4 linked regions of the Cricetulus griseus genome follow. The protein of the gene in region 1 binds, or shares a complex with, the protein of each later gene. Links are inferred from orthologs where the notes say so. Each region holds a gene or a part of one and is shown on either strand. Other genes may lie near its edges.

Region 1 (5,007 bases):
AAATTTCAGTCAGTATTAATCCCTATTGAGGCACCACATCTTCTAAAGAAAACGTTGTGGACAGGCAGGCCTGGAGAGCCTGGGAGGGGAAGGTGGGACGCCTCATGCCGACTGGCCAGGTGCTTGGCAGGTTAAGTTTCCCACAGACAGGACTCTGGGAACTCAGGCCCTTAAAGAAGAAAGTGAGGGTAGAAGGAAGCTGGCTGGAAATGCTGGAAAACCCCATCCCCACAGCAGAAAGAAAGCGGGTGCTCTGAGGACAGATAGCGTGGGAGATACAGCTCTGGGACAAGTGACCTCTCAGGCATGAGGTCCTGGTCCCACGGGGCCCAGCAGGACATACCCTCCCCCACCAAGAGCAGCTATCAACACAGGGCTCATTGTCACTGTGTTCCAGCTCCTGGTCCCCTTGACCTGGTGGCTGGGATCACCAGGAGAGGGAGGAATGTTCCAGCTAAAGGCATCTCTGGTTTCTCTGCCTTCACAAGCTGCTAAGGAGCTCAGTCTTGAATATTACCTAGCCTCTCTCCTCCAGGGCCCCGAGGAGCTGCTAGTCATACTGAGGAAGGGTAATGGATGGGAGCAGGGAAGACAGAGAGAATCAGAGGGCACCTTAAAATCCGACAGTGAAGCCATGAGCTCGTCCAGCTCCCTGGTAGCAGAGGAGGCCGAGATGCGTGTCTGCTGCTGGCTGGAGGTGACTCGCTGTGGGCTGCTCATCTCACCTTGGTTCACAGTGATAGCCGGGCTGTGGGGCAGGCATGGAGTCAGTAAGGAGCCCAAGGGTCAGCCCCAGGCTCCACGGGGGGGGCTCCAGATCAACGACACCTCCAACTCCAGGGAAGGCCACCAGAACCCAGCAGCACCTTAGGGATCCCCATCCCTGGGAAAGAGTGACTAGCTAAGAAACAGTGCTGAGGTGAGGTGACCAGAGAAGGTAGGTGGTTCACAGTACCCCTACAGGAAGACAGGGGCACCACTACAAAGCCTCTCAACACTATACACATGCGAGATTATTACACATCAATAAACACTGACACATGGTGGCTCATCCCTGTAACCCAGCACTTGGGAAGCTGAGGCAGGAGGGCTACTACATAGTGAGTTTCAGAAGAGTCTGGGATATAGAGTGAAACCCTACCTCAAAATAAACAAGACCTGACGCTATTAGGGGCTTCCCTAATAGCTGTGATTGCCACAGCTACGAGCCAGCCCCCACCCCCCCCAACATTATATACTATTATATACTATTTGGTCTCACTCTATTTACTATGTAGGGTCATCTCCATTATTACTGTCTGCTTTACCTATTTTATAGTTTATGTCGTATTTTTGCGCTATGGTCTCATGCAGTTCAGACTGTCTTGGAACTCACTTATATAGCCCAGATTGGTCTTGCACCTGAGATCTCCAAACCTCGACCTCCCAAATGCTGGGATTATAACCATGTGTCACCATGCCCTACTTTGGCTTATTCCAACTTATAGAGCGAGAGTAAGACTGTTGTAGCTGGCACAGCCATGATCTAAACCCTGTGCCACATCAGCAAACCTGTGCTAACCCTGGCTTTGCCGGGTCATGCCATATCCCCAGGACCTGGCAAGTAGCAGACACTGTAGGGAGCAGGTGACTTCAGGGCTGATGGACAGGTACCACACAGCCCGAAGACAGTCGGGGTGAGACTTCAAGAGCTTCCCCAGCCTGGGGAGACCCTAATGGATACTCACACAGGGCTAGGCACAGAACTCTCCAGTTCATCCAAGAGGCTCTCCACGCTGGGCCGCACATCCTCCAGGCCCCGGCCTCCATTTCGCTTTGGCTTCTCTTTCATCAGGGGCCCAGTTTTTCCTCCCAGGGTACTGTTACTCTCTGGGACACCATAAAGGGGGCTCAAGGCTCCAGGTAGTGGGGGGCTTGAGTTGGCTTCATCTTGGAGATAAGGAAACAAAATGGTTGCTCATCCCTGAGTCCTCTAGGAACCCAAAGGCCCATGAGTAGTCCAGAGACCCGCTCACACCTGCAGGGAAGCCTGAAGGGTTGTGCTGCACAGCGTTCAGTTCTAGTAACAGACGGTCAAGCTCCGAGAGGTTGTTGCCCAGGGAGGAGCTCATCATGGTAGGTGAAGGCTCTGCGGACTTGTGTTTGTTGGGGAAGCTTTGAGAAGGAGAGGAAACAAGTAAGACTCTTCTGCCCTGCACTGGATGTGGCAGGCCCCAGATTCTCAAGGCCGGAGGGGTGGAATGTTACCAAGTCTCTTCAGCAAGAAGGCGGAGGGTAGGGAAGGAATGTGGTAAGGCAAGGAGGAAGGAAATTTTGCTTCAGTTTCTCAACTACAGAGATGCTGTCTCTACAGAGAAGGCAGTGACAGGGCAGAGGGGAGCCAGCTGACAAGCACAGGGCCTGGCAGGGGCCTTCAGGCCTTCTATAGTTCCACCAGTGGCCCTAGGGTTTCCCAGAAGCCGGGCTGATGTACAGTGCTGGTTCTGTACCTGTAGACGTGTTCTTCCTCGCCTGCTCGGGAACAGAGAGCGCTGTCCTGAGGGTTAGAGGCACCGGAAGTCTTAGCACTGGAGCTGTACACAGGTGACGGGGATGGAGGCTGCAGAAGAAAGAGTACTTTACTCAGGCCACCCCCAGGCAGCTCCTGCTCATAGCTTGTCTCACCAGGGAATTTCCACAGCTAGTCAGGTGATTAATACTTGGTCACTGGCCCCTCACATGGTGGGTGAGAAGGGCAGTGTATGACTAGGAGCCCAGAATCCCAGTCCATCCCCAATGGCTTTCCATCTCCTCGGCAGATCAGCTCCTTTTACCACTCAGCCCCCAAGGGCTCCGCAGACCCCACCTTACCTGCTGGTGAGTGTATCGGGAACCACTAGGCTGCCACTGGTCTAAGGGGTCAAGGATCGTGCCATTGAGGGCCTCGCTGGATGGGGGTGGTGGAACAGGGGGTGGCACTGCAGTCTCCTGATAGGTATGGTTTCCAGTTGGGTAGGAGTAAGGGGGCTCCTCTGACAAGAACACTGGCCGTTTGGAGATGTGGGAGGTGGTTGATTCCAAGTCTGCCAGCAGGGCGTCTGCAAAGAGAAGACGTCCACTGGTGAGAGTTGGCCCTATTGGGCACTTCCCAGGGGCAGTGTCCTGCCTTCCTGAACTTGAAGAGATCCTGTCTGGCAGACACCTGCTGCTTCGATGGGAGAAGAGACCTGGAGTTTCCACATCGGCTGCCCGTCCTCTCCTCCCTCAGGGGTTAGATGCCTGGCTCTGCATTCCTCCTGACAAGGCTAGGCTGCTGCTGCCTGGTGTAAGCAAGAAATGCCTGCTTAGAACTCTGATTCCTGAGGGCAACTGGGAGAGCTGGGTGGGAGGAGTCCTACGTCATGTCACAGCACAGGGAGGGGCTGGGTAGATAGAGCCAGGTCCTCTCTGGACTTCTAAGAGCCTCAGCCCAAGTCTAAAGACAGGGGGTGGCCTTAGGGAGCACCTGTGCTCCAGGTAGGAGCGGAATTCCATGCTCTAAGCTCCTCCTGAGGCCCCAGGCTGTGGGTAAGGTATGCAGAGAGGTAGGGGGCTGGCATGAAGCCAGCTCGGCAGCAGCCACCCCCTCAACAAGCTGGGAGTAAGACTGCTCTGCCAAAGCCTGGCAAGCAGCCCAGCCCTAGAAACTCCAGGGCCCCATGACTCCGCTTTTAATGGGGGGTGGGTCAGATCTCCAACACAAGCTGCCATTACCCTGGCATGCAGTAGCCGACAAGAGGCTCAGGTTCTCGACAGGAAGGGACAGCTAGAGGGACAGGAGTTGGAGGTACTGACCTTCCTGCCATAGCCTCCCATCTTGGGACCTTCCACAGTGCCACGGCCTGGGTACAGTCCAGCCCCGCTCACCACACCCTCCCTCCTTCCTGCACTGCTCACTGACCTGCTCACTCTCAGCATCTAGTGACCTGCTTCCTGGGCCCTCGTGAGTGGCAATCGAGGGGCAGTGGCTGCACTGCACTGATCACCATCTACTAGGAACCACTAAAGGCATCTACACGCGTGGTCACAAACAAGTGCCCCTTCTGGTGACCTAAAAGGCCAAACTGTTGTCTTTGGAGCTGAGGAAAGTAGGCTTGGAGGCTAGCAGTACCTGCCCTGAGTGATAAAGCAGGAAAGGGCAGGATCACAAGACTCCTCAGACTCCTTAAGTCCCAGACACCAAGCCTGCAGGAGGGACTGCTGTGATTTCAAAGAGACAAGATACCAAATCTAAGGAACTCAACTTCCTACACACCAGGGGCTCGAGCTCTGATCCTTGCTGGCGGCCCTGTCTGTAGCTCCATTCCCATGCAGAGAAAAGGGAAGCAAGGGCCTTTGAGGTCATGCCCTCTCCTAGCAGCCCTGACTACCTGTCACTAGGGTGGGTGCACCTACCCCTGGCTCCTGCTGTATGGCTGGACGAGAAGTTGTTCGAAGGCCGGGACCCTGGGTCCCAGTCTCTTGCTGCTGAAGAAATTCTGCTCCTGCAGCCCCTCCCCGTCCAGGTCCCCCGGAGGAGCTCTGACTTCCTGCCTCCAACAAACCGGAACTACAGGGAGTCTCTATGAGTCTAGGTAAGGGCATAAAAGGAACTAATGTCCAAAGCCAATCCCAAAGAGTCTCTAGGGCCACACCTGCTGTCCATTTCCTCTGGGCCCAGCCCAAAGTAGGCGGAACTCCTCTTCCTCCATCACAGACTGAGCCTGCAGGGCCAGCTCCACAGAGCAGGCCACAAATACAGCCCTGATGGGGCTGGCAAGAGCAGTCCTGTACACCTATCAGGGCCAAGAGCTTCACCTGTGGAACTTGCCATCCCCCAACCCAACAACACTGCCATAGAGGGCTGGGCTGAGGTCCCCCTTGCCAAAGATGGCTAAGGGATAACACAGTTCCCTCCAGTTCCAAACACTCCAAGGAAGACAATGGCCTTCCCTGCTAGCCGGTAAATCAGGAGTTCCACTGCCCGCTCAACAAGTCCCCATGCCCTGC
Region 2 (3,775 bases), on another chromosome or scaffold:
TGACTGTCAGGAGCATCTAACAGGCCACCAGCCTGTGGACTGAGAACAAGATTTGGATGGAGCTCGGCTAGTCCCTGTTCCTGTGCCTTTGTGAACTTTAATCACAGGGAACACAAACTCAAAGGTAGGTTTCTGGGCATCCTAGCCAGTGTTCTTGCAAAGTGCCTTTCCTGTTTGAGGCTGCGGCCCATAGGCTTCTCTGGGGCTCAGGTGGCTTGCTTTCCTCATGACTGGACAGAGGGATAGGAACCTGGGCCCCAGTCAAGCTCTGCCCTGGCATCCATTAAATACAGCTGGCAGCTCAGAGAAGGCAAAGAGCACACTTGGCTCCAAGGCAACTTAGAAGTATTAGGAAGAAAAACTACAAACAGTAAAATTTCTAAAGGCAGGAAAATTCAGACAGGCGAAGAGTAGGTGCAGGGCTGGGGATAGTACGGACGATGGGGTGAAATGTCAAGAGCAGCAGTTAGTTCTGACCCATGGGTCTTAACCCTTTAGGGGTCAAATGATCTTTTCACAGGGGTCACTAAAGACCATCAGAAAACACAGATATTTCCATTATGATTCATAACAGTAGCAAAATTATAGTTATGGGGTAACAATAAAAATAGTTTTATGGTTGGGGGTCAGCATGACACGAGGAACTATATTAAAGCGTCACAGCATTAGGAAGGTGGAGAACCACATTAGGTTTAGGTTTTTGCTTCATGTGTATTAGAGAAAAAGCAATAGGCTGACAGGGTCAAGGGAAGGTACACAATTCAAAGTTTGGAGTCTAAATGGAGAACAGCAAAGAATGCACCTTAGAGACAAAGACTTCATCTGGGACCTGGTCTAGCACCGGTGGCCATTCTAACAACACAGAGGTAGGTAGTGTTGAGAGATCAGAAGCACAAAAAGAACATGTTAAATAAAAGGTTTTGCTTTTATTTAAAATAAAATGCATTTATACAGTCTTTAAGTCATGGATTATTGGACAATACTGGTAAGTCTACCCCTTCTGGCGCCCTCTGGGCTTGTGAGCTAGGAGTTTTCTAACTAGCACCAATGCAGACTGTAACAGCGCAACAGACCAGAGCACAGCCAGTCCAGGGGCAGAGCTAAGGGCATCACGGCAAGTCATGACCATCATGAAGGCATTCTTAATTTAGCAGATACTGAAACTGCATATTAATTATACACTTTAAAAGCATTTAATTAATGCAACGATGCTACATTTAAGCCATTTCCTAGTTGTGAATAGTTTTTAAAAAACTGTACAATTTTATAAAATTTGTGTTTGTACATTAGTTACACAAAATGCATACTTCATAGAACTTTACTTCATATTGTAACACAAAGGTTGCATATTTTAGGCAGATAGTGAATATGCTGGTGAATACTAAGAGTGTTGTAATACAGTATGGTGTAAAAATAAACACAAAACAATGTACAACATGCTTATTCAAGGACAAACCCAGTCAAGCACAACAACAGATCAACAGCACTTCCTTCAAGGTCAATGACATCATCGAATACCAAGCATCTACTGCAGACCCGATTTTATATTAGGAGAGGGGACTGATTGGCTACCAGAAGTAGGGTATTTTAAGAGAGGGCATCAAATGAAACATACATTAAACACATGCATTATACATGATAAATAGACTTCATATAGGTTACACCCTGGATAACTTGGTAGTAGATGGCTTGTTTCTTAGTTTGGCTAGTGTCAATCAGCGACAGCTGGCTCCTGATTCACCCATTACTTCAGATTTCAATTCATGGCCTGAGGAATGTTCGGTATTCCACAGTCCACATACTGCATCACGGTAGCAGATTAATAACCGTGCTTGTTAGTGCACATATTAACCGGTCTGATAAGGCAAAGAGTTTTCATGATAAAATGATAAATTTCAAGCTTACTTTATTAAGCAGCATATAGGAAACAATAGCTTTAAAGTTAAATATTGTTATGGCTGTGGAGTTTCATTACACAGTTTTCCTATTCACACCCAACCACTGGTGAGTTTGTAAAACATCTCCTCATCTAAACTCTCATTCTGGTCTTTTGCACGAGTCGAGAGAAATATGTAACCACCAATGAACTCATGGACCACCTTACAGTCTACTTCAGTACAGATGAAGGACAACCGGACCTCGTCTGCAAACTCCACAGTGACCTGGAACAGAGACAAAGAATCATCAGTGTCCCCAGGAGCTTCTGTAAGTTCATTTTGTAGGTGTCCACTGAATTGCTGCCACTCCCCAGATAATTATCCAAGAACAGCAATAATGTCTGTGTAACTAACAGTAAGAAAACTGAAAACTGTATCATCCCTTCCCCCATTCCTTTAGTTTGCAAGTTCTCAAGGGGTTTAAGCCATTAAGTTCCCAAGTGGTCTATGGTAATGCAATTATTGAGAATGTCTTTCTTCAGGTCCTGGGAGAAAATCTACTTCCTGTGTTTTATTTAACATTTGCTCCAGTATTTAACCTTTAGGTATCATGTTTAAATATTTCAGAAAGATGAGTTTTTCTGTTAGCAACTGATACAACATATCCAATCTGCCAAGCCAAACACCTCTACCAGGTAAGACTGTTTCATATGATGTCCATGTGAAAAAGAAAAAGGGCACCATAGTGGCTACATAGTGGTACATGCACCAGGATTCAGAGACCAAAAACAAACTGTTTGAACACTGAGCCAATCACTAAGTGTGGGCATGGATAATAACCATGTTAGGCTTTGAGATGAGGATAAATGCAAACATTTAGTGTCATGCCTGGCCCAAAGAGGCATGGGACACAAACTCTGCTGCTATAAGGGATTTAGTTATTATGGAGAGATAGCATCATGGTCTACACTTGAATCCTAAGGATTGGGCTTTTTTTTTTTTACTATTCATATTTTAAGACAGTCTTCCATAGCCCATGCTGGCCTCTAAGTTGCTATGCAGTGGAAGTGACCTGGCACTCTGTTCCCTCCAAGATGCTCCACCAACCAGGGCTTCAGGAATGCTAGGCAAGTGCTATCCCTAGGGCTTTTTTTTTTTTTTTTTTTTTCTGTTTTGTCTGCATACATGTCTATGAGGCCAGATGAGGGTGTCAGATCCCCTGGAACTGGTTGTGGGTGCTGGGAATTGAACCTAGGTCCTTTGGAAGAACAGCAAGTGCTCTTAGCTGCTGAGCCATCTCTCCACTCCAATTTATTTGTAAACAAACAGAGACTACCCTGTGCAGAGCCTCATTTGGATGAGGCTGGAGTCTTGGAAGCTTGGCTTCCTACCTAATGGTGGCCTTTGAAAGCTTGTTTGAAGGTTGTAGAGCATGGGAGCACAGCTGCTCGTATACCCTTGGCAGAAAGAAGGCTGGCTGTATTCTCCCACTAACAAGTATGAGAGGTGAAGGGGGGCACCAGAACTCACTAGCCACACAAGCCGAATGCGCCCTAGCAGTTAATGGGGGTATAAAGTATCACAGCCAAATTACCTCACATAACCCAATCTCCAGGATTTAAGACTCCCCCTTTTTGTTTTTCTGAAGTGTGGGGGAACAAATCCAGATCCACTGAACTATGAGTGCACCCTCAGCGGCAGAAACCCATTGCTAGTTTACCATCTTGATCTCCCAGTTGACATTCCACTGCTTCATGTTGCTGAACCGCCATGTTTTGATGGCGTCTCCCGTGCTGGCGTCCATCCGAATCAATCTGTTGTATGCAATTCCAATAAGTTCTTCTCTCTTGCCGCCTTGGAATCTGTAATTTTGAAGAAAAACCCCTCAGAATAGGGGA
Region 3 (5,056 bases), on another chromosome or scaffold:
CACACACACACACACACACACACACACACACACACATATACAAACACATACATACATATGCATGCATACAGACCCTTGCACATACACATACACCCATACATACACACACACACACACACACACACACACACACACACACACACACACACATATCTAAGCGAAGGGGCTCTGCTCCTTATTTCACTCTCCACTCCAAGGACACAGGAATGCTGGCTCTACTCTTTTCTACACTTTTCTCCCTCCCTTCTTAGGCTCCTCTCACAGAAGGGAGAGTTTCACTCTAGAACATAAGACCCAGATTCACACCCCCATCTGCATCCTGACCTCAGACAAATGGCCAAACCTCCCAACACTCACTCCTCAGTGATGGCCACTGAATGGGTCAATCATAGAGGAAGGTCCCCTGCCCATGCTCCCAATATTGAAATGTTCACCTGTGTAAGCATAAATAAAACATAGATGAGGAGAGAATGAATTACAGAAACGGCCTCTCCTCGGCAATCTGTCACCCATCCTCCCCTCCCCCACACACCAACTCTGAGGTCTGTGTCTCTCACTCTGGATCATTCTGAATTATTTACTATGCTAAAACCACATGAATCGCACCAATCAAAAAAAAAGGTAGTCTGAATCCAACCAAAGCCCGAGTGGGAAAGTGCTTTTTCAGTCCTGTTGCTAAATACTGAGAATTTAACATCCAGCTAGCAAACAGGAAAGAATCTAAATTCGCCATCACAAAATGTACTTGTGAATTTAAAGTAAGTAGTGCTACTGGGAACCTAGAAAGTCATTGCTCTAAAGCCTCCCACTTCACTGACAATAACATAGAATAAAGCACAAACCCAAGGCCCAGACACGACTGATCAGAACCAAAGCTGGCCATGCCACTTCTGGCCCAAGCTCTTTTTTTTTTTTTCTTTTTTTCCTTTTTTTTTTTTCTCGGATCATCCATTCCTCCTTCACAAACAGGCTAGTTAAATCCTAAACCGCCAGTGGCCACCCTCTGCTTCCACACCCAGAGAAGGGCCCAGCGAGAGTGGAACTGGAGTGACCAGGACAATACCAGTGCCATACAGACAAAGCTCTCTTCCCTGGACCCTATCGGTCCACACTCTGCTGTGGGCACCCCACTCTATTTTGGAGAAGAAAAAGAAGAGCCGAGCGAGTCTTTGTTCTGCCAGGAAGAAGCAATTTTCTTTTCTCCTTTGCCATAATTCCAACTCTATCCCAATATTCCCAATCTCTTCAAAAAGTTTACAGAGAAACTCTATCACTATAGCAAATAAAAGCTGGTAAGAGAAAGACAGGGCCAACAAAGTGGGGGGGGGGCTGTACAGAAGAGGGTGGTGGCCCTTCACCCCACAGGGTCAAAAGCACTTCATTTCAGCTACTAATTGCCTGCAGAGAAGTCACCAGACAGTTATCACAGGTCCTCAAACTGAAAAATATACCATCTTTGACCCCCTAAGAACTACCCCTTCCCTAACCTCCAAATGTGCCCAGAGCAGGAGTGGCCCAACAGACAGACCACCCTTTCCCCTCAGGCTCTAGAAGGAGACCTCAGGGCAGGGCTGGCATGGAGTTATTTAAGGCAGTAGCATGAGGGTGGGGCAGAAAACTGTTGGCAGTATCTTCCTCCTCCACCCCTCCCCCTCACAGCCAACACACACACACCTCACTCTGTAGACATCTCACTCACCAAAGGCTGAAGCTAGAGAATCTCCAAATGTGTCTTCTGTCATTGAGACTGCTGTCCCCTTTTGCTGTCCAGCCCACTTTTAATCCATCCTTCAGTCACCAACAAGCTATCTTTCCAACCAAAAACACACACTCAAATCTAAACAGGCATTCAAAAATCAAAGAAACATGTGGCCAGACAAGCCATCTCTGGCCTTCGCCTAGGAAGAAAAAGGGCACACCAGTGTGGAGGGCTGAAGGGTGGGAAGATGCAGTTGGAGGCCTAACATGCCAGGCAGGTTCTATGATGTCTCTAGATGAACCTCCTACCTACTGACAGTGAAATCAATTTGAGCAATTTCAGTAGGTTGGCCCTGTGACAACAGGGGCATCCCAGAGCTCAGCGATTCAAACAAAAATCCAAAGGCTCATCCAGAACATGCTGGGAAAACCCTCGGACCGGATGAAATGAGCCCGCTCAGAGGGATCCCTTCTGCTTTTATGTGGCAATGCATAATAAATTCTGTCTGCCCGGAAAAAAAAAAAGCATGCACTGATGAATTTCAAAGCCCTAGTACGACAACCAGGATACAGAATTCGACAGCACATCGCCCTTCAAAGGAACATAATGACTTTAAGCCTCTTCAGCCTTCTATCTTGAATGTCATTGCCGCTTATCAGGGAAACCACGCTGGAAAGCAGGGAAAGACTGCCCGGGACATAGGAGAAAGGAGTAGCTTTCCGTCCCTTTGGCGATGGGCTGCCTAGCGAGAGAGATGCTGTCATCTACTGAAGGATGAAGGGGCCTGGGCAGTGAGCGAAGGTACCCCCGGACACACACCCACCACCACAAGCGGGTGCGGGCGGGGTACGGGCCAGCAGCATGTAGTCCCTGCGCCCATCCAGCCACCCTCTGCTTTGGGGATGGAAGGGGAGGGAGGGTGCTGATGAATGAACACACCTGAGATGCCTCCATCCCGGCCGCTGGCTCCCCCCTTCCACCTCTGGCCGCTGCAGAGGAGACCCTCGGTAGTTTCACTTTCCAGGCAAAACCCACCCGGGCTCTCCCTTCTCCAGCCACCCACACTGCAGCCAGCCTGAGGCGGGAGGACATTCCCTCCTATCAGAGGCCATGATCGCAATTACCTCCACCTACCCAAAGCGAAAAGGCATAAAGAAACCTGGAATCCCTCAAGCTCCCTGCGTCCTAGCAACTTTCCTTGAAGGGACTGAGTGGGGAGACACACGGAGCAGCCGGGAGGCACGGATCGGCAGAGGTCCCCCGCGGCCACCCGGGGATGCTCTGGGGGAGAAGGCCCCCCCAGGTCCCTCCAACCGCTGGCCCTTTAAAAGCACCACCTCCGCGCAAGGAACAAAGGCGCCGCTCCGGGGGCCCGCTGCGCCCGCCCGGGAGCCCCCTCCGGAGAGCGCGGCCGCCACCCGCTTACCTCGCGGGTCCCCGGCGAGGGCTGCGCGCGTCCAGCCCGGCTCGCGCTCCACGCTGCAGTCAACCCCGCTCTGTTTTTCTGCTACTCGGAGCTGACTTCACCGACACTCCGCGGCCGGCCAATGGGCGGCGGCGGCCAGCCCCTCATTAGCATGCCCTGGAACCGTCCACTCCGGCAGCGCCCAGGGGGCGGGGCCTGGCCGGCCGTGACAGGAAGGGGCGTGTGCGCCAATGAGGAGGCGAGGAAGAGCCCGCCGCCAAGCCGCCAGGCGTCCCTGTGAGCGGGGCGATCACGCGCGCGCGCGCGCGCCCCTGCGCCCGCTAACCCTTTCTGCCCTGGCCTGGGCGCTAATGCCTCTAGACTCCAGTCCTCTGGTCTCTCTAAGGGTTTGCCCACAGGGAGCTTGAAAGGAACCGTAAGCATAAACCAGCAGCAGCCAGTGTGTCCTGGCTATCTATAAATTTATTTAACCCCGTACCCTTTTGACGATCTGTAAAACATCAAATCTTGCTCACGACCCTGCCACTCTGGTTATAGTCTTACCACACAGGTGCCTGAGGATGCTTCCTATTTTTTCCATTTGATCTTCACAGCCTTGCGAGAGAGACCCTATTACTAGTCCCCCCCCCCTTTCTTTTTTGAGACAGACGCTCATGTTTTCTCAGGTGGTCTCAAACTCACTGTGCAGCCAAGGATGACCCTGAACTTCTCATCTTCCTACCTCCACCTCCTAAATGCTGAGATTACAGGTATGCCCCGACATACACACCCCAGGCCGTCTTCCTGACTCAGCCTCTAGAGTGGTGGGATTATAGGGTGCACCACTGATAGATTGATGCTGATATTTTTCATTCATACAACCTATATTCAAGGTTCAATGGACATGAATGCATTGAGCCTGGGGTTACTAAAAAGGACCCTCCCTTTAAGAAGCTAGCATTTGAGGGAGGAACAAGTAAACCAGATTATTAGTAAATGAGCTGGAGAGAGTAATAACCAAGGACAGGCAGGGTATGCAATTTTGTCCCTTATGCTTACTGTCTTACAACCTTCTCCAGTTCCCTACAGGATAGCAGAAAGGGCAACAGGGAGGAGAGTTTGTGCAGGTTCAATGAGCCAGCAAAAGCTAGTCTGGAACTTGCTTCTTCCACGACCAGCTTCCCACATCCCAAGGACATCCCTCAAGGTAGGTGTCCTAGTTAGGGTTTCTATTGCTAGACAAAAACACCATGACCAAAGCAACTTGGGAGGGAATGGGTTTATTTGGGTTACATTTCCAAATCATAGTCCATCATTGAAGTAACTCAGGACAGGAACTCAAGCACGGCAGAAACCTGGAGGCAGGAGCTGTTGCAGAGGCCATGGAGGGGTGCTTGCTCCTCATGGCTTGCTCAGCCTGCTTTCTTATAGAAACTAGGACCACCAGCCCAGGGTTGGTGCCACCCACAATGAGCTGGGCCCTGTCTCATCAATCACTAAGAAAATGCCCTACAGGCTTGCCTGCAGCCCCATATTAAGGAGGTATTTTCTTAATTGATGTTCCCTCCTCACAGATGACTTTAGCTTGTGTCAAGTTGACAAAACTATCCAACAGCAGGATAGTCACCCTTCAGGCTGAGCACAACTAATTCTTTTCAGCTGCCTTTGGCAAGAATCTTGAGCCCAAGCATGTTCCCAGTTAGCAGGCTGTGTGGTGGGGTAACAATAGGCCTGGATGACTGCACAGGCCTGGAGAACCCCATCTGAGAAAGTTCTTAGATCAGGGAACAATGACAAGTCCTTGCTGAGCACCTGCTGTCCTGAACTGTGTTGTTTGTTTATTTTATTGAAGACTCCTAGCTGTCTGGGAGTTCACTCCATAACCAAAGAAGCAAGAAGTCACCAGAGAACCCAGACCTCACCCAGACCTTTGGAAAACACTTCCCAGGCTC
Region 4 (5,215 bases), on another chromosome or scaffold:
GCAGAGAGAGACCAATGCTGGGACCCCATTTCCTTTCTCCTTTGTATTGGTCAGGGTTCTCTAGAGGAGTGGTTCTCAACCTTCCTAATGCTGTGTGACCCTTTAATACAGCTCCTCATGTTGTGGTGACCCGAACCATAAACTTATTTTCATTGCTACTCCATAATTTTGCTACTGTTATGAATCAAAATGTAAATATCCACGTTTTCTGATGGTTTTAGTTGACCCCTGCAAAAGGGTCATTTGACCCCCTAAAGGGGTCAAGAGGCCACTATTGCTCTAGAGGAACAAAACTGATTGTGTGTGTGTGTGTGTGTGTGTGTGTGTGTGTGTTAGAGTGGCTTATAGGCTGTGGTCCAGCTAGTCTAATAATGGCTTTCTACTAGTGGAAAGTATAAGAATCTAGTACTTGTTCAGTGCATGAGGCTCAATGTCTCATCTGGTTTTTCAGTATATGCCAGAATCCTGAAGAAGTGAGCTTCTAATGCCAGTGAAGGAATAGATTCGCCAGCAAGAGCAAGGGGAGGCAGGAAAAGAGAAAAAAAAAAAAAAACAAAAAAACTTCCTTCTTCCATGTCCCTTATATAGGCTGCCAGAAGATCTGGATTTAGGGTGGTTCTTCCCACCTCAAGTGATGTAATTAAGGAAAAATCCCTCACAGGTGTGCCCAGTCAGGTAGGTTTTAGCTAATCTCAGATGTGGTCAAGTTGATAACCAAGAACATCCAGCAGACCTTTTTATTCAGTTTAGAGTCCAGCTCCTGGGATGGTGCTGCCCAGAGTAGGCAATCACATGGGAGTTTGCAGTTCTGAGATTTCCTTGATCCTGGGGTCTCAGAGTCTCCCCAGTGCTTAAGAGAGAAGCAGCTTCAGCACTGAGCAGTAGGCCAGGGAAAGCCACATGGCCTTTGGTGCCAGGAGGGTGGCTCTGTAGAGAAAGGAGCTGCCAGGACCTGGCGTAGGCAAGAGATGCCTGTCCCTGCCTGAGTTTTCTTTATCTCCTAGTGAAAGGAGGTGATTCTTTTCCTTGTCTCTGGAAACCATGCCTCCCTAACAGTCTTGTTCCCTGTTTTATCCTAAATCCTGGCCCTCTGTTCCTTTTCTTCCTACTGGAGTCACCACTGCCCCTGTTCCACCCTTGGCTTGTAACTCCATAGGTAGTGGGCATCCCATTCCCCATGACAAATTCCAAGAGGGGGCAGCTTGGTTACCCTTTCTGCCAATGTGAATTGTAAATATTTCCTGCCCTGAACTGAAATCGCTTGCCAGAGGGAATGAGGCTGTGAACCTGCACAAAGGGAGAGGGAACCATCCCCACCCCACCCCACCCCACCCCACCCCACCCTTATAATTAGGTGCAGTTTTATCCCAGGCTAGGTCCTGATAGTTCCTATCTCTGCTGAGCCATGCACCCACCCGCCTCCTACAGCCACAGGCCATTTGGCTCTCCCTCTGCGTATGCCTGCCTCTGATGCTGCTTCTACCCCCAACCTCTCTAGAAACCCTTTCACTTCCCTCCTAGTAAGGCTTCCTGCCTGGCCTCATCCCTGTTAATCATCTTCTATTCCCAGGTCAGCAACAATCAATTTTGCACAACTCAAACCTAGCCATGTTAGGCCAGCATCCATCCCTAGGCCTGCGTTCTTCCTCCAGGTGCCCTCCTGATTCTTCCTGCTGGGAAGCCTTTGGCTGAGCTTGCCTTGAAGGAAGGGTGTGTGAGGCCACTGTCCCACAAAGGCACCCACTATACCCCAAGCATCGACCTAATAAGGGATGTTAGGGATCCTGGCAGAGACTCAACAGCTGACTTTACATATTTATGGGACTAATTGATTCTGGGCTTCCAGCACGCTGAGGCCGCACAAAAGGGGGCGGTGGTGCCTGGCACCACACGCAGGGTCCCACTGCGTTGCGGGTGGGGAGCTCAGCCGCAACACCAGACCTCGAGGTCAGTAGGCAGGGGCGGGGAAGCCGCGGCCGCGCCCTCCTGGCCACTCCCCGGCCGGCGGTGGGTGGCGCGCACTCGCATATGTCCTCCGCGCCACCGCGATCGCCCACCCCGAGGGCCCCCAAGATGAAGAAGGACGAGTCTTTCCTGGGCAAGTTGGGTGGCACGCTGGCGAGGAAGAAGAGGACCAGGGAAGGTGAGTGCTCCCCCGTGTCCTCTTGGCGCCAGCCGGGTGCCAGCGATGTCCCCTGGCTGTCTGCTCCCTGTCCTCTTCGGCGGCTCCAATGAGCCCTCCCTCCGCGCCCAGGCTGCACTGCCCGCCACCTTTGGATCAGGCCGGTCCTTGTCCCTGCGACCTTTGCAGTGCTGGCCCGGTGCCCAGGACGTGCGTCCTGCTCTGGACACAGGCTGAGCAGGGTATGGTTCTCGTGCCTACCCTTGTCGTATGACACTCTCGTCACAGTGATTGGACACATGCGTGGTGGGGAGGGCCGGCTGCTGACTGTTTGATGTCGGCACGCGTGGCTTGGTCCCTAAGCTGGGGAGTCAGTGAAAAGGCACAAGTGAAAGGAAGCCTGGAACCAGGGCCACGAGCCCCCCCACCCCCACCCCAGGCCCCCAATCGTGCACGTTGCACAGGAAAGTAATTTTAAAACGACACCCCTTTACTTTTTAAACTTTAATAAAACAGAATTTCAAGGGATGTAACTTCTGCTCCTGGGCCAGTGCCTCAGTCATACTGCAGTTCCTAGTCCTTCTCTTGCAGAGACATTCCTGACTTTTCTATTGTTTTGGCCTGGAGGCTCCTGCCCTTGGGCTGAGGTTCCTGGCGCTCACAAGGAATGGGAGGGGCTTGCTAGGGAGAAAGGGCAGGTAGAGAGAAGCCCCAGAGCCCGGCTTCCTGGGGATTAGTTGGCTAGGGATTATCTGATAGGCTGCGCAGAGGGTCTCCTCCAGCCACTGGGGCAAGCTTACTCCTAGAAAGTCTTCCTGGACCTTAAGGGACAAACTAGTCCCAGGAAGTTGACTGATAATCACCCAGTGCTCCCGAAGGACAGCAGTGATATATTTAGTGTTAAAGGAACTTCAAGCCCTAAATTATGGGCAGACTCACTCTGGCCTTTCAAGGCATCTTGAAAGGCAGGGCATGTAGGGAAATGCAGAGCTTGTCTGAAGTGTGATACTACCTAAACTTTGATAGAACCCATGAAGATCCTGTGGCCCCCCCCACACCCTGCCCAGACTTGCCTTCCCAGACCTTCAACCCCATAATGCCCTTTACCAAACTAGATAGTCCAGTTCCCTGCGGGCAGGGAACTGGTCTCCCCGCCCCCTCTCAAATCTTCTGTTGCAGACCCTCCAGGTTGGCTTGCATTGAATTCATCGCCATCAGTGTAGTGTAGTCATTGTGATCCTGCCTACAAGTCGGTTCTCTTCCTCTTACATGCTATGACAAGGGTGGACCTGCATTCATTCCATCATTGGGTTTTGTTTTTGTTTTTGAATTGGGGTTATGCTATGCCACCACCTCTGGACTCAAAGTCCTGGATTTAAGTGATCCTCCTGCCTCAGCCTCCCCTGTATTGGGAACTGTGGGTGTGTTGCTACCGGATTGTGGCTTATCATCTATGTGAATCCTCAGGGTCCTGGGAGTGGATGCCATAATGTGGAAGCCGATGGGAAGTCCCATGATCCTAAGCTGTAATTGTCAGAGGGCTGGGGAATGGGGGTGGTGATGTTGAGGATGAAACCCAAGAAAGAAAATCTTTCATAGCCGGCCGTTGGTGGTACATGCCTTTAATCCCAGCATTCGGGAGGCCGAGACAGGCGGATCTCTGTGAGTTCGAGGCCAGCCTGGTCTCCGAGTGCCAGGACAGGCTCCAGAGCTACACAGAGAAACCCTATCTCGAAAAACCAAAAAAAACAAAAACAAAAACAAACAAACAAACAAAAAAACAACAAAAAGAAATCTTTCATAGAAAAACACGTGTAAGAGTGTGAATGGTTACAGTTTCTGTGTGTTCCATGTGTGTACACATGCATGTACAGGCTAGAAGTCATGCTGGGTCTCTTCCTCAACGTTCCTCATTATCTGCTATCTATCTATCTATCTATCTATCTATCTATCTATCTATCTATCTATCCTGGCTGGCCTGGAACTTGTATAGCCAGACTGGCTTGGAACTTAAGAGACCAACCTGGTTTTTTGTTTTTTTTTTAAAGATTTATTTATTTATTATGTATACAACATTCTGCTTCCATGTATATCTGCACACCAGATGAGGGCACCAGATCTCATAAGGGATGGTTGTAAGCCACCATGTCGTTGTTGGGAATTGAACTCAGGACCTCTGGAAGAGCAGTCGGTGCTCTTAACCTCTGAGCCATCTCTCTAGCCCCGAGACCAACCTGGTTTTGCCTTCTGTGTGCTGCTATTAAATAAAGGCATGTGCCACTCCACTGGGTTCCATCTTGTTTTTTGAGACAAGTCTTTTACTGACCCAGGGGCTCTTTGACTTGGACCAACAATCGCCAAGGTCCTCTGTCTTCACCTCCCCCGATTAGAGATTATAGGTGAGCAACACTTACCTGGCTTTTGACTTTTTAAAAATTATCAGTGCTGGGGATGAAACTCTGGTCCTCATGCAAGCAAACACTTTACCAACAGAGCTGCCTTCCCTGCCTTTCACAGCTTTTCTAGGTGGTACTTAGACTACTGGAACATGAGGGATGCACAGCAAAGTAATGAGCTGGCCTCGGTTTCCAATCCTAAGTCCTTCTCTGCTTTGCTTGTATGGGAGCATGTGTATCCAGAAGACAGGGGCCCAGTCTGGCCCAGTTTAAATATACCCAGAACCCCAGCAGCACCTCCCTCTGTCTGCTTGCTTCTGCTGGTGTAGCCATCCTGGTGAGTTAGCTGGGCCCTCTGCCTCGGTTCCCAGCGTTGGAATAAGTACCTCTCACCCCTATAACCAGAAAGTCACAAACCCTAATTGGTCTCTGAGGCAGGAGTGGAGGAAAAGATCAGCCTTGGAAGGGCTGAGTGGCTTCCATGTGGTCCTCTGGGAAGTGGAGAAGGGATGGAGGGGCAAATGTGAAGACTGTGTAACGAGGTCTTGAATAATTGAGCGTTGAGAGCTGCCAGTATTTCTGCAGACCTGTTGCCTTGGCAACCGGCCCTCCTGACTGCTCTTAGTCTTGACTTTGGGCCGTGGGAGCTTATGCATGGATGCCTGCTAGGGAATGACCAGGGGGAGGGTATGGGGCT

What was found.
Region 2: the proteins of Pxn (region 1) and Fermt2 are in contact, whole or in part, in an NMR structure (PDB 6U4N), measured with the Homo sapiens proteins. The link is inferred for Cricetulus griseus from reciprocal best matches to the Homo sapiens genes PXN and FERMT2. Residues at the interface, in NP_001074324.1 of Homo sapiens: Ala562, Phe563, Cys564, Leu565, Gln576, Lys579, Tyr581, Lys588, Leu589, Phe590; in NP_006823.1 of Homo sapiens: Gly42, Gly43, Met45, Leu46, Glu50, Lys55, Lys56, Trp58, Ser59, Leu73, Thr75.
Region 3: the proteins of Pxn (region 1) and Sorbs1 are in contact, whole or in part, in a crystal structure (PDB 2O9V), measured with the Homo sapiens proteins. The link is inferred for Cricetulus griseus from reciprocal best matches to the Homo sapiens genes PXN and SORBS1. Residues at the interface, in NP_001074324.1 of Homo sapiens: Val45, Pro46, Pro47, Pro48, Val49, Pro50, Pro51, Pro52, Pro53, Ser54; in NP_001030126.2 of Homo sapiens: Phe876, Phe878, Val900, Asp901, Asn903, Trp904, Ile917, Pro919, Thr921, Tyr922.
Region 4: the proteins of Pxn (region 1) and Parvb are in contact, whole or in part, in a crystal structure (PDB 4EDN), measured with the Homo sapiens proteins. The link is inferred for Cricetulus griseus from reciprocal best matches to the Homo sapiens genes PXN and PARVB. Residues at the interface, in NP_001074324.1 of Homo sapiens: Asp3, Leu4, Leu7, Leu8, Asp10, Leu11, Glu12, Ser13; in NP_037459.2 of Homo sapiens: Ala241, Phe242, Thr244, Leu245, Ala249, Lys252, Val255, Val256, Ser259, Leu260, Tyr354, Phe357, Thr358, Lys361.

What each region holds. Positions count from the first base shown.
Region 1 is NC_048597.1:95,638,006-95,643,012, reverse strand, and holds the start of Pxn (paxillin), read right to left. Parts: upstream 3,237-5,007; 5' UTR 3,222-3,236; coding exon 3,182-3,221; intron 3,078-3,181; coding exon 2,851-3,077; intron 2,600-2,850; coding exon 2,490-2,599; intron 2,155-2,489; coding exon 2,018-2,154; intron 1,930-2,017; coding exon 1,728-1,929; intron 749-1,727; coding exon 613-748; intron 1-612. UniProt on the Homo sapiens protein: Cytoskeletal protein involved in actin-membrane attachment at sites of cell adhesion to the extracellular matrix (focal adhesion). Recruits other proteins such as TRIM15 to focal adhesion.
Region 2 is NW_023276807.1:201,453,018-201,456,792, forward strand, and holds the end of Fermt2 (fermitin family homolog 2), read right to left. Parts: intron 3,740-3,775; coding exon 3,598-3,739; intron 2,163-3,597; coding exon 1,989-2,162; 3' UTR 912-1,988; downstream 1-911. UniProt on the Homo sapiens protein: Scaffolding protein that enhances integrin activation mediated by TLN1 and/or TLN2, but activates integrins only weakly by itself. Binds to membranes enriched in phosphoinositides.
Region 3 is NC_048596.1:21,069,507-21,074,562, reverse strand, and holds the start of Sorbs1 (sorbin and SH3 domain-containing protein 1), read right to left. Parts: upstream 3,255-5,056; 5' UTR 3,126-3,254; intron 1-3,125. UniProt on the Homo sapiens protein: Plays a role in tyrosine phosphorylation of CBL by linking CBL to the insulin receptor. Required for insulin-stimulated glucose transport. Involved in formation of actin stress fibers and focal adhesions.
Region 4 is NC_048595.1:381,091,186-381,096,400, forward strand, and holds the start of Parvb (beta-parvin), read left to right. Parts: upstream 1-1,985; 5' UTR 1,986-2,028; coding exon 2,029-2,143; intron 2,144-5,215. UniProt on the Homo sapiens protein: Adapter protein that plays a role in integrin signaling via ILK and in activation of the GTPases CDC42 and RAC1 by guanine exchange factors, such as ARHGEF6. Is involved in the reorganization of the actin cytoskeleton and formation of lamellipodia.